Linked DNA regions of Drosophila melanogaster. The protein of the gene in region 1 purifies or fractionates together with the protein of each later gene. This does not show direct contact. Each region holds a gene or a part of one and is shown in the gene's direction. Other genes may lie near its edges. The genes, in order: pkm and CG11200.

Region 1 (6,839 bases):
TTCTATAGCTTGATATTATTTTGGTTGTTATATCATGGCTAGATTAATGAATCAACGCTCGGGAAACCCAAACAGAGTATTTTGATGTTTGAAGCGAGGGAAATCGGATAAGATTTCCAGCCAAAAGAGAGTAGGAATGTGTATGGAATGCCGATTTCCAGCGCCTTGTGTTTGGATTGGATTGGCAGCTTATCTCGTATGCTAATCGTATGATCATACATACCTATATACATATATATATATGAATCTGCCCAAATCAACCAGAAGAGAGTGCTAACTAAACTAGAATCGAAGCGGCCGAAACTGATGGATTCGTAGATAGAATCCCCCTGTTGAGTGAGTGCGAAGAGTGAAGATCGCCGCCATAGCGGATCGATGCTCAGATGATTCATCGAACTCAACTTTCACCGAGGGTGAGAAGAAGACGGCAACAGGGCAGACCACCACAAGCACAAGCAACTTCATTCACACGCACGTATGATTGTGTAGGTGTGAGTGCCGCGAAGTGCCGGCTGAGTGTTTGTTTTTCGCCAATTTCCCATGCATTAATATGGTACATGAATTAACCACTATGTGCTCTCCAAAATGACTTGAAAACTACTAGAAATTTATTATTCCCTTACCTAAATCCTACATTTCCTGTATTCTATCCGATAATAATGTGGCATATTCCGTCCGAAATCGTGGGATAGAGCCCATTCTCGACGTCCCGCTGCTGATGCAATTGCCGTTGCTGGGTGGGCGTTTGGCTCTGCTGGCGATTCACTGTTTTCACGGTCATTTTTACGGCCACTTCTTGTTTCGCTTTTCGATGGAATGCGACTGTTTGAATATCGAATTCGGAGAGCGGAAGTGCCGTTACCGTTAGCCAAAAAGTGAAATTACGGTGCTCATTGGCCGCGGTTTGATTTGATTTGCGATAAGATTAAGAGCGGGCCATAAAGCGCGTAGCACCTAAAAACAGCGGAGCGAACTAAAAAAAAAATAACAACACCAACCGTCTTCTCGCACCAAAGAAACCAAACTGCGCGACTGTACAGTGTGACCAGCTGCCGGAGCAGCACAAGTGGCCCTCTACCCAGAATTTGTGAATAAAAATAATCAAATCCCGCATGCAACCCAATCTGGCAACGCTGAAAGGGAGTTAAATTTGAAAAAAAAAGTTAATGAATATTATTTATTTGGTCACTTTTAATAAGTCATTTATTTGAAAGTTTTTCTTTTTTGACTAGTTTTTTTTGTTTAATACTTTTATAACAATCAATTTGTGCTTTAATTTAAAATGCCAACTTGTTTTGTTAATTTAATATATTATATAATATATCCTAGGTAAGCCTATTTAAAAAATAAATCACATATATAACTGTTTCTTTAAGGATATCCGGCTCCTTTTTTTTTACTCCTACTATAGTTGTAAAATCAAAGTATATGCCACATAAATAACAATCACTATACTATATTCGAATTAAAATGCTATTTAATTAGTAATTGTATCAAGTGTCAAGACAGTTAATTTGAGAAAATCGTTTCCATTTATTTCCCGACCAAATGGGCAGGGATTTGACTTCAATTAGATTCTTGAAGCAACCCAGGCGGGATCTGAAAAATGTGGATTAAGGATTAAGGGTTATTGGGTAAAACGCAAATGAACGTATGTCAACTGACCTGTGCACGGCCAAAATAGAGGCGGTCTTTGAACCGATCCCTGGAATCTCCTGCAATTGCTTAACGTTTCCATTGTTAAGATGGCCCAGTAAACATTTAGTATTATTGGCCATCCAGGCCTTGGGCGCAGGTTTCACTTTTCGCGTGCGTTTCTTTTGGACTGCACTTTGAAGGCGCGTCCCGTTTTCCACAACAACGGAGGTGGCATGTTCCCGGATTCCCGCCAGCCGCGTGCTGCGCCGCAAATTCATAACCTTGGGAATGGCTCTATAGTTCTGCGAACGCATCCTACCCGCTAGACGTACGGAACGACGAAGGCATGGCTGCTGTGGCGAAGCCACTACTGTCTCCTCCATTAGCTGGATGCCGCTAAGTTCTCGCTGAGAACTGGATGCCCGCAGACTGATTTTTTTTCTTTAAAAAATATATTCTATAGCTTGATATTATTTTGGTTGTTATATCATGGCTAGATTAATGAATCAACGCTCGGGAAACCCAAACAGAGTATTTTGATGTTTGAAGCGAAGGGAAATCGGATAAGATTTCCAGCCAAAAGAGAGTAGGAATGTGTATGGAATGCCGATTTCCAGCGCCATGTGTTTGGATTGGATTGGCAGCTTATCTCGTATGCTAATCGTATGATCATACATACCTATATACATATATATATCAAATATGTATGTATGTATATACCAAATCAACCAGGAGAGAGTGCTAACTAAACTGGAATCGAAGCGGCCGAAACTGATGGATTCGTAGATAGAATCCCCCTGTTGAGTGAGTGCGAAGAGTGAAGATCGACGACTTCAATAATCAATGTATATATATATGTATATTGTCTAAAAATTATATGCCAAGAATAAAAAGTGTCAAAGTGTAAAAGTCCTATTATTATTGTTATTGACCTAAAAGTTATTTTACTTTAAATCAAAAAATGCAATTAAATATTAGATTACATAGCGCTTATTTAATAGGTAGTCTAAGCTATCATCAAATAAATTATAGTCGAAAACAAAAAATAAGTAAACATCTTGAGAAATATTACACATACACATATATAACTGTTTGTTTTAGGATATCCGGCTCCTTTTTTTACTCCTACTATAGTTGTAAAATCAAAGTATATGCCACATAAATAACAATCACTATACTATATTCGAATTAAAATGCTATTTAATTAGTAATTGTATCAAGTGTCGAGACAGTTAATTTGACAAAATCGTTCCCATTTATTTCCCGACCAAATGGGCAGGGATTTGACTTGAAAAAGATTCTCGAAGCAACCCAGGCGGGATCTGAAAAATGTGGATTACGGATTAAGGGTTATTGGGTAAAACGCAAATAAAGGTATGCCAACTATGTAAGTAACTTACCTGTGCAAGGCCAAACTAAAGGCGGACTTTGGACCGATCCCTGGAATCTCCTGCAATTGCTTAACGTTTCCATTGTTAAGCAGGTCCAGAAAACATTTTGTATTATTGGCCATCCAGGCCTTGGGCGCAGGTTTCACGTTTCGCGTACGTTTTTTTTGCACTGTACTTCGAAGGTGCGGTATCGCATCCGTCTCGTTTTTCACAACAACGGAGGTGGCATGTTCCCGGATTCCCGCCAGCCGCGTGCTGCGCCGCAAATTCATAACCTTGGGAATGGCTCCATAGTTCTGCGAACGCATGCTACTCGCTAGACGCACGGAACGACGAAGGCATGGCTGCTGTGGCGAAGCCACTACTGTCTCCTCCATTGGCTGGATGCCGCTAAGTTCTCGCTGAGAGCTGGATGCCCGTAGACTGATGGGACTGATGGTGGTGTTGAACAGCTGGCAGCGTACAGTTGTGGGCACCGTGGGGGCAACCATTGACTGTTGCACCTTTGACGATTCCTTGGGCTCGGTCTCTTCGACAATGCCCATTAGCGTAGAGTTCTGGCTGCTGGCTTGCCTTGGCTCTTGCCCTGTTGGGGGAGGCATTAAATGCCTATCCTTATCGCTATCGCTATGGAAACCCAACAGACTCAGACTGCTGTCCTGAATGTGTATAGACGAGAGCTCCAGCGTGGTCTCCTCCAGCTCCAATAGCTCGCGAGCCCTATGGAGGAAGATATGGGAGGATTAGATCATCTTCGCTTTTGGTCCATTCCGTGTTACTCACCTTTTCTTAGCTTTGGGCGTCATGCCAAGTTCGGAGCGAGTTCGATGGAGCACGGCGCTCAGCGGCTTGGTTGTGCTATATTTGGATTTTGGAACCACTATGCTATTATGATTGGCTGCGTTTGACTTGATGGCCGTCGAGGTGCATAGCGCTTGGCGGAAGACGTGTGTTGTCCGTGCGGCCAGCGATTGCTGCAATCAGAGCAAGATGGGTGGATGAAACTCGAGTAACTGCATCGTTCGATTTGCGGTCAGTGCGGTTGGAATGAGTTCGGTTCGGTACGGCTTGGTTTCTCTATATAAACGATCCACACTCGCGGCGGTGGCGTAGTGTGCCATGGAACAGCCCAGTGAGAAGACGCAGGAGGGGGAGCAGAAAGATCGCCAAAGTCAGGAAGTGATAGAAGTGGCATCCGATCAAGGAAATTCACCAGACTCAACAGAAAGTTATCCAGATGTCGATCAGAAGTCACCTAAACGAATTGATGTTGAGGAACCAAAGGAGGAGAACTCAAATAACAGCGAAGCAGTGCAGGATTTAGAAGATAATCGTGTGAAAAAGGAGGAATTGGTGGCAGAGTTGGAGGAACCGAGAGGTGCTGAGGTGGAGCACATTGAAAAACAACTAGCCAAAGAGATTGATTCGAAAGTGATCGACAAACAAGAGCTCAAAGGCATAGAGGAGCTTGATAAAAAAATTCCCCAGTTGAATCAAACATTTGGAGATCAGTTGTTGGAAGGAGATGATGAGCCTGAGGCGAAATCAAAGGATGAGCTGGCAGAGAATGCGGACAGGGAAAAACTAGCAGAAATCTCTGCGAGTGAGATTCAGCTCACTGGCAACCTAGCAGCTCCAGCAGAGCAAGTTGATCAGAAGGAAGCCGAACCAGATCCACATGAAGACACCGAAGATGAACGAAATGGGGAGGTGAATAGAGAGCACCCAGACAGGATGGAGAGTCCTGTAGAGCAACAAGAGGACACAGCCAAGCCAGACGAAGATCTGCCCAACGAGCAGGTTACACAGTTCCTTCGCCAACTGGTCAGCCAGCTGTGGCCAGAGCTGGGCGCCAATCCGGAACTGCGTCTGGAAAGGGCGAGTGCCAAGGGCGACAACTATTTGGGCGTGGTGTGGCGCCTACAGGCGGCATCCGATTCGAAACGCAGCCTGGTGGTTAAACTGCCGCCACAGAATCGCGTGCGCCGCAAGCAATTCTTTGCACGACCATGTTTCCTGCGCGAGACGGCAGCATATGAGGTCTTTCTGCCGCTGACTGCGTTAATTCAGGATAAGTGGAAGATAATCGGAGATGATCGTTTCCGGCAGCACGCGCTCTGTTTCGGAACTCGCCAGGATGAGCCCAACGAGTGCATCGTGCTGGAGGATCTGTCTTGTGCCGGCTTCTCACTGCACAATCGCTTTCTCGACCTATCCGTCGAGCATGTGCGTCGCGTAATGCTCACCTATGCCAAATTACATGCTATATCATTGGCCGGGAAACGGCAGTTGCCCGAGAAAATGCAACAACTGCAGCAGCTGGTGGATATCTTTGAGCAGCGACGCGATGATCATGCCTTGGGGGTCTACTTCGAGAATCTGAAGGAAAGCGCCCTATCCGCACTGCTCGCACCGGCGGATGATGCATACAGAGTTCGTCTGGAGGCGTACTTCGCCAGAGGATCGTACTTTGAGCTGCTGCTGCCTTTGGTCAGCGGATTCAATTGCGAACCCTTCGCTGTTATTTGCCACGGCGATTGCTGGAATAACAACATTCTCTACAAGAGTACAGAGCGGGGCGAGCTCGAGGACGTGCGCCTGATCGACTGGCAACTGATGCGATATGCCTCGCCGGTCACCGATCTAGCTTACTTCCTCTTCACTTGCACTTCGCGGCGATTCCGGCAGCGACACCTCGAAAATATGCTCGAGGATTACTATGAAGAGTTGGGCCTGCAGCTGATTAGGTAAGTAAAAGTATAAGAATCCTAGAGCTTCAACTATTGTATTGTTGTGTTCGCAACAGACTAGGCGAGCGGGTGGAGCAACTTTTTCCCCGTCCTGCATTCGATGAACAGGTGGCTACCAAAGCGGCTGTGGGCCTGCTTCTCGCCATGATGGTTCTACCCATTGTAACGATGCAGGGTCAGGATGTGCCCGACCTTCAGGCAATTAGCGAGCGCATCGAGGCGGGGGCCACTACGGATCTCCATGGAGCTGGTTTCCTGGGCGCGGGCAACGAGGCTACATTTAAACAGCGTATACGCGAGGTGATCCTCGACTGTGTGGACTTTAATTACATATAGATGGCTCACCTTCTGGCGCGCCACTTGCATCGGATTCAGCCGAAGCTTCTTGGCACTGGTGCCAAAACGCAGGGTGGACAACGTCTCGCTGAGATCGCATTGATGCGGACTGATGCAGGCCAGAAAGGTCAGATACGACTGCGCGGTTAGCGAGGCTGCAAAGAATGAAAACGGCAAGAAGTTGCAGTCAATATTTATAGTAGTCACTAAGTCGCTAATCAATAAAGGCTTGAACCCAAATGGTCCACTAACTAATTGAGCATGAGACGATCCAAAACGTAGCACTTACCCTGCAGAACTGTGGTAAGGACGCTGTCGCGGTATGGTATCACTGTGTGGCCCGCCGCCATGGACATCACCACCTTGTTGATGCTCAACAGGCCCAGATTGATGTTGACGCCCTCCTGCCTGGCCACGCCCTCGTGCCCAGTTCGCCGCACGCCTTCTGAACCGGCCAGATCCACAATATTCATCCGCGAGTGATGGGTTTTACTCTTCACGTGAATGGTGACTATGGCATGGGATCGCGAACTATTGGAATTCATATTGGTGGGACGAACGCGTCGATTGCGAGTGCCTAGCTCCAAGATGTGATGCAGATCCGCCTGGCTGTGCAAAGGAAGGCAGGTGCATCGCTGGCAACGCGCCGCCACCATGGGCATATGTGGCGTGGAGCCCAGCAGATCGAAGGGTTTCTCATTGTAGATCTCTATGAAGGAGGCGT
Region 2 (6,839 bases), on another chromosome or scaffold:
TGATACTTAATGGAACCTACCTTATCTTGTTATAAAAAGAAGGAATGTTGAAAGGTTATATTCCGCTGAAAAACAAACACCTGTCGTCCTTTTTTCTTTGTAATCCACATCTGACTATATTCTTATTATTTGTTATTCCTTACCAATTCATCTTCTAATCAACTTTCTTGATCTTATTTCTTCCACAAATGAAATACAGATCAGTCTAAACCAACGACGAAATTTGGAGACGAGCCGGACCTCCTGTTCAAGCGAGCGCAGGGCCGGATTAGTCTGATCAGTGCTGGAGCTGGAGCCGCCCAGGCTGGCCAAGCTGCCCAACAACCATCACTGCATTCAAGCCAACAACAGTTCGCCAACATTCAACTAGACGCCACGCTCAATGACTGCGAAAGTGGCTATGTGCCCACCGTGGGCCGCTGGGGCTCCGAATGGCCGAGTTGACTCGCCGTTGCCACCAGTCACCGACGGGAGGATGGGGGAGTGGCCTCTCCGGATGAGGATGAAGAGGCCACTGCCGCCGCCGCTGCCCACGATCCGTTGCTCCCGGCGGATCAGCAGCTGGCGGATGCGATGGTGCGCGGAATGGGATTGGGATTGACTACGACGCGATCTGATTTATCCGCAACTGAGCACCCAACTGCACATGGCACTGGCGCCATTCGTCGCACACCCTCCACCTCCAGCGAGGAGGAGGAAGAGGAGGAGGACCTCGAGGACCACGAGCTGGTGCCTTCGCCCGATCTGACATCGGTGGATAGATCGGAGCGTTACTCCGACATCAGGCAGCTGTTGGCCAGACAGCAGCCCGTCGCAGCTGCTCTGGAGGGCATCTCCGGCGCTCAATGGATAGTGGGCGACGGCTATGACCTAGAGGCCTTCAATCAGGTAAACGGAGTGTGGCCCCTGGGTCATCCGCTGCCGCTGCCCGACTGGTCGAGCTCGGAGTCCGCTGGCAAGGGCACCCTGATCTTCGACAATGTCTGGCAGTATGAGGAGCTGAACGGAATAGTGGAGACCACGCTGCAGCGAATGCTGGAGGAGACGCACTACAATACGGTCAACCTCTTCGTTGACTTCTATCGCAGCTTTAAGCGCACGCGTCGCTCCGATCTGCGTAGCTTCTTTCAGTTCTACGATGTGCCCATCAACAGACGCCATCACATGTGCGTCTCGCTGGCGTTCGAAATCATGGCCAGGATGGTGCAGATGTTCCCGGTGCTGGCCAACTACTTGTACGTTGTGTCCTGCGAGGAGCAGGTGATGGACTGCAACGACTACGTTCAGTTGGACGAGGAGTGCGGCCTTAATTCGGTGGACGCGGGTGTGGAGAAGGAGCACGTCATGGTCGCCATGCGCATCGCCATCGGCGATCGACGGGGTGTGATGATCCTGGACCCAGGTTACCATGTCAGCCGAGCGGTGACTGTTATGCAGGATCAGAGCTATCCGCACACTGGTGAGTTGTAATCTCCGCTTAGCCTATTGTAATACATATATACTGATGGATGCAATATGTTTCTAGGCTGGTTCACCCAATCCAAGGAGCCGCATCTGCAGCGTGATTATTGCTATGCCTACAGTCAGCAGAATGGGAAATTCGTGGAGTGGAAGGAGCGCGAGATCCGTGGCGAGGATACCAGCTACAAGACATCGCTGATCTACGTGGCCCAAGAGTACATCACGGCCATCGACGTGACCGTGCGCCGCAATCTGGTGTACAACTTCCGATCGCTACTCTCCCGCGATGCCAAGGGTCAGGTCTATGCGGGCATCTACTTCCCGCTGGTGGCCAATGGGCAGGAGGCCTACCTCACCATCTTCTACGACGGACCCAATGAGCAGCGAGTGCGGACGAAGCTGATGTTCAGCGCGTTTAAAGTGGGCAAGGGAAAGGTAAGGATCACTGATAGCTATAGCCAATGGTTACCCATTACTAACCCAGTTATTATCACCCATCAGCTGCCGGACTATGTGGGTCAACATCTTAGCAGGCTGGCGCCGCAATTGAAGATACCGCTGCCGGAATTGACCGAACTGTGCAAATCCCTGGCCGAGGTGGTCACCGACCAGAGCTTCATCAGCCAGGTGCTGGCCATAAACGATGACATCGGCAACATGTCCGTGGAGAATTGACAGTTAAAGGAGCCTAAGGATGTCGCTGCTACGGAAACGGAAACGAAGATGGAGGAACAGGCGATAAAAGACATTGACAACGCAGCTGCAACTTAGAGTTCCGAACCTATTTGAATACTTTGAATACTTTGTCCTTTCCACAGTAATATTCTTTTTAGTAGCATATAGGCACCTCTTACACCAGCACACACGATTCAAGTATATATTCAATTTAGTCTAGTATATATTTCAAAATATTTATTCACCTATAAACACGACAACACGCTCTATATGGTAATCCCAACTGAATTATTTAATCGAAAGCGAAACGAAATTTTATTCAAAATATTTAAAAGAAATGCGCAAAGTTTAGACTTCAATGTTTCGCTTAGGTTCTTCTAATTTCAAACTATATATATACTTATGCGCAACTATATAATGGCAAAATTAGTTATAACTGGTATCAAGGCAAAACATAAATTGTAATTGTTGTACGAACATATTTCCGTTTAAACACTTAAATGCACTGTACTATTTCGGTTCAATAAATAAATCAGCTAGCAAAAGAAAGAAGGTATTTTGTTGGGAGACTTAAAACATAATTTTACTTGAACTTTAACTAACATGAAAAGATTAAAGGTGTATTATTGCCTTAAATTTGAATTTCGATATTTTTATGGCAGTGATATCGATTAGTTTGGTAACAGTAGCTTAACATAGAATAGACATGTTACTGTTAATAAGCTTAGCTCAACATTTAGGTATTTTTTGCACACGCAAACTCTGTTTCTCTGTAATAAAAACATTTGTTTAAAAACCTCAGGTTTCTTATGATTTACAAATGAATAAGGACAAAATAAAGAAAAATGCATACTGACGGCAGATATCGATGATTACATCAACAATCGATATTTTGAAACAGAGAAAGTGCAGCCCTGGTGCCATCGATGTATATCCACCTTGGATTTTCGCTTGTCTGCAGTTATTTCAATTAAGTTGTTTCAAATCAGCGTTTTTGTGAGTGCACACTAAGGTAACAACACGCCGACCGACCCGCTTAACCATTGCATAACCACGTAATTGTACAATATCAGCTGTTTTTCTGCGTGATCAGCCGGCAAGTGGGTAAAATTCACCTGTTGACCAGCGGCAATAAGCCAAAACAAAACAACAACAATCGTGGATCAAGTTCTTGGCGGAAAGGCGCGCAATTAAAACCTAACGTTCAGTTCGCTTTTGAATTTCTCGCCGAGCGGTTGTGGCGAAAATAAGGGCCCGCTGGAAAAACCGGTTTTCAAACACCAGCGATTGATCCTCTTCGAAAACGTGAAAGAAAACAAAAAGACGAGGAAGCGCCGCCGCAGCCTTTAATTGAAAAAAAGGGTGTCAATATTAGCATAGAAATCGAGGCACAGGTGCATTTTCGTCTGCGTCAGCCAAATTGAAGGTAAAATTGAAAAGCCCTCTGCAAGGGCAACAACAATAGAAAAAGAAAGTTAACCATATGCAGCCAAATTAAAAACGACCGCGGCAACAACAGTAAAACTGCTAAGCTTTTGCGTTTTGTTGACGGAAGTCGAAACTCTTGACAGCACGTTCGTGGTGTCATGCGTACACACAGAAAAAATGGAATTACTTTATGTGAAAAATGAAAAATTCATACAAAACCTATTTCTAATTTGTAGTGAAGTTCTTATCTTTTAAGTGCAATCTATTATAAAAGATAAAGCAATTAAGAGAATTTCAAACAACCTTCACTCAAGAAAAATAATTCTATTTCCTTAACTTTCTTAAAATGGAAAACCATTCTGCGCAGTACAATTTGTAAATATTTTTATATTTTACACCAATACTAAAGAGTTTTTCGCAGTGTACTATGCTAGGTCGTCCGTACAGATATTTCCCCGCTGCCCCCGCAAGAAGAGCCCAAAGAAACCGACCCTAGTTGTTGCTGTTTAGCGCCTCAGTCATTTTCAGCTCTGGCCCCAAATTCACTATTTTGGCCCCGTTTATTGGCTTTGGCTCGAAGCTCGGCTCTTCAACTTTCATTCCGCCGCTGTTTGGGTTTTTAATTAGCATTTTACGAGCACACCTAAGCCAGTTCTCTCGCTGTCTCCCAATAAACGCGCTCAACTATCTTCTGTCTAATTAATTTAATTGTTTCCCCGCCCGATTAAAAATTAAGATTCCAGTGCAGCGCTCAAAGTGCAGGTGGCAAATATGCACTGCAAATATCGGTGGCCAAACAATCGCGTTAGCTTTATAAGCCCGGCTAACCAACGCTGGAAATTGCTGGGCAAATAAGAAAAAACTGAGGGAAAGAGGCAACAACTCAAGCTATTCGACGGCCAATGGGGTCAAGTCGATTTCAGAACACGCTCTCTGATAAATATCATTAAAAAGTTTATTAATTATTAGACTTCTATCCCCAAAAATGGGGTTTCCTGGTGAAAATTCTGAGATTTCAAACATCATTCTTGTTACTCTGTCGAATTAGGATTAGTGCGTTAAAACAGCACTTTTGTAAAAGCCTTTTTAATTGATAGCAAAGATCATTCTACAAAAAGTTCGAGCTTTATAATTAAACCACATTTTTAAGTGATTAGTTACTCTCTACTGTTACGCCAACTTGATAGTATAAAGGCATGATAATTGTAGAAGCTCGACTATTCGCAGCTGAATCGTGACACGAATCAATCTCTGGCAAGTATATATGGCCAACACACCTAGAATTCCAAACGAATATGGCCAACAGATGTACCCGCTGGCACTCGGATCGCGAAATCTTGCTGACTCAGTTGAAGAGTTTCGCAAAGTGCACTCGAGGCGAATTTACCCGCCAATATTGATAATGTTGCCGGCTAATGGCTAATGTCTGTGACGAACCAGGATCGGTTTTCGTTATCAGCCGGCGCACTTTGCCCGATTTCTTATCAAAACCCGTATTCCCTTTGCAGAGTTCCGGAGAGACGGCGATCCGATCCGATAAGAGCGTATAATGTTGGGAACTTTGCTGTGGATTTTCTTCGTCGGCCTGCTGCTGTGTGCGTTCCTCTTTTCGAAGACCACCAAGGAGTTCCCGAAGTCCTGGTTCGAGTGGAAGACTGAGTTTCGGTATCAGTACCTGGGAATCGTTGGGCTCGTCCACGATGCCCAGTATAAGGCACGGGATCGAGTGGGTAAGTCAATTTGCTAGCCGATGCTTATTCCACGATCACTAATTGTTGCCATTATCCATTAAGCACTTTATAAACAACCGGACCGCATTGCTGTCATCACCGGAGGCAATCGCGGCATCGGACTGCGGATCGTGGAGAAGCTGCTGGCCTGCGACATGACTGTCGTCATGGGTGAGTTGACCAATCTCCGCCCAACAACTTGTTTCAGGCCTATTCCTATCCATAAGTCGGCGATCTGCTTATGAATTCCACAAACATTTAACCGTGCTGCAAGTGCACGTGCTCGGCAAGCTAAAATCGAACATCGAATAAACGATCGTCGAAATGCAGATCCATTCCCACCCTTGTCAATGCGATACAGAAATCATGACCCATTCTCCTGATTTCATTATCTAACCAAGTCGCGTAAAAGTCTCGATTTTCGGGAAAGACAAGCGATAAGAGTTCATTGACTGGTCGGAGAAAAGAATTCTAAATTTCAATGAAAAGGGTCACAGTTATCAATAATTATTTTGTATTTTCTCGTTAACATTTTTGAAAATGGCATTTTTTGTTGCTTTTCCAATTTCTTGCTTTAATACGTTTACTTACAATTTCACTGCATATTTTAGTCTCTAAGAAAATTCATTTATTAAGAAATCATTTTTTTTTTTAAATATATTTAATTTTATTGTTAGTGCTAGTTAAAATAATAAACATTTTAATCATTTAACAGTCAACTGTTATTTTCTACATTGAACTTATGTAAAATGTATAGATGTAAAAACCAGAGCTTGAAGTGCGCTATACAGGCGCTAGGTGTCGCTTATATTGCTTATATTTTGTGTAAAATAGGGTAGATTAGAAAACACTCATAAAAAAGTGTTTTAAAGGATATTTATTAATTAAGTTCTGTCCTCTCAGCAATTTTTGTCAGTGGCTCACTTTAATTTATGCATTTATTGCAGGCGTTCGTGATCCCAAAATTGCCGAAACCGCAGTTGCATCGATAGTCGACTTGAATGCTACCAAGGGCAAGCTCATCTGCGAGCAACTGGATGTTGGGGATCTGAAATCCGTAAAGGCATTTGCTCAGCTCATCAAGGAGCGGTATTCAAAAGTGGATTTGTTGCTGAACAATGCTGGCATCATGTTTGCGCCCTTCAAACTAACCGCCGATGGCTACGAGTCGCACTTTGCCATCAACTTCCTGGGACACTTTCTGCTCACCCACCTGCTTCTGCCTCAATTGAGGGCGGCAGGCAAGGAGGGAAGGAACTCCAGGATCGTGAACGTCAGCTCCTGCGTGAATCTCATTGGACGCATCAACTATAAGGACATTAACGGAACGTACGTTTGAGTAATTGTCGCCTAAGTTCCTTATTTACTAGGTTTTACTGCTTGCAGAAAACACTATTACCCGGGAACCGCCTACAGTCAGTCAAAGCTTGCTCAGATCTTGTTCACCCGCCATCTGCAGACACTGCTGGATGCAGAAAAGTCGCACGTGCAGGTCAATGTGGTGCATCCGGGCATTGTGGACACGGATCTGTTCGAGCACTCGGC

Evidence for each region.
Region 2: the proteins of pkm (region 1) and CG11200 purify together in Drosophila melanogaster (affinity purification with mass spectrometry, with the first as the bait; one large-scale study listed by BioGRID). This does not show direct contact.

The regions. Positions count from the first base shown.
Region 1 is NC_004354.4:11,581,470-11,588,308, reverse strand, and holds pkm (pinkman), read left to right. Parts: upstream 1-4,133; 5' UTR 4,134-4,148; coding exon 4,149-5,776; intron 5,777-5,835; coding exon 5,836-6,115; 3' UTR 6,116-6,124; coding exon of another isoform or gene 6,125-6,270; 3' UTR 6,271-6,352; downstream 6,353-6,839. Other genes in the region: nod (no distributive disjunction), read right to left, coding at 2,855-2,960, 3,039-3,749, 3,813-4,003, 6,125-6,270, 6,405-6,839.
Region 2 is NT_033778.4:20,304,870-20,311,708, reverse strand, and holds the start of CG11200 (uncharacterized protein), read left to right. Parts: upstream 1-3,037; 5' UTR 3,038-3,148; intron 3,149-3,209; 5' UTR 3,210-3,562; intron 3,563-5,072; 5' UTR 5,073-5,113; coding exon 5,114-5,294; intron 5,295-5,357; coding exon 5,358-5,465; intron 5,466-6,241; coding exon 6,242-6,623; intron 6,624-6,680; coding exon 6,681-6,839. Other genes in the region: CG13868 (uncharacterized protein), read left to right, coding at 200-439, 485-1,459, 1,526-1,896, 1,963-2,136.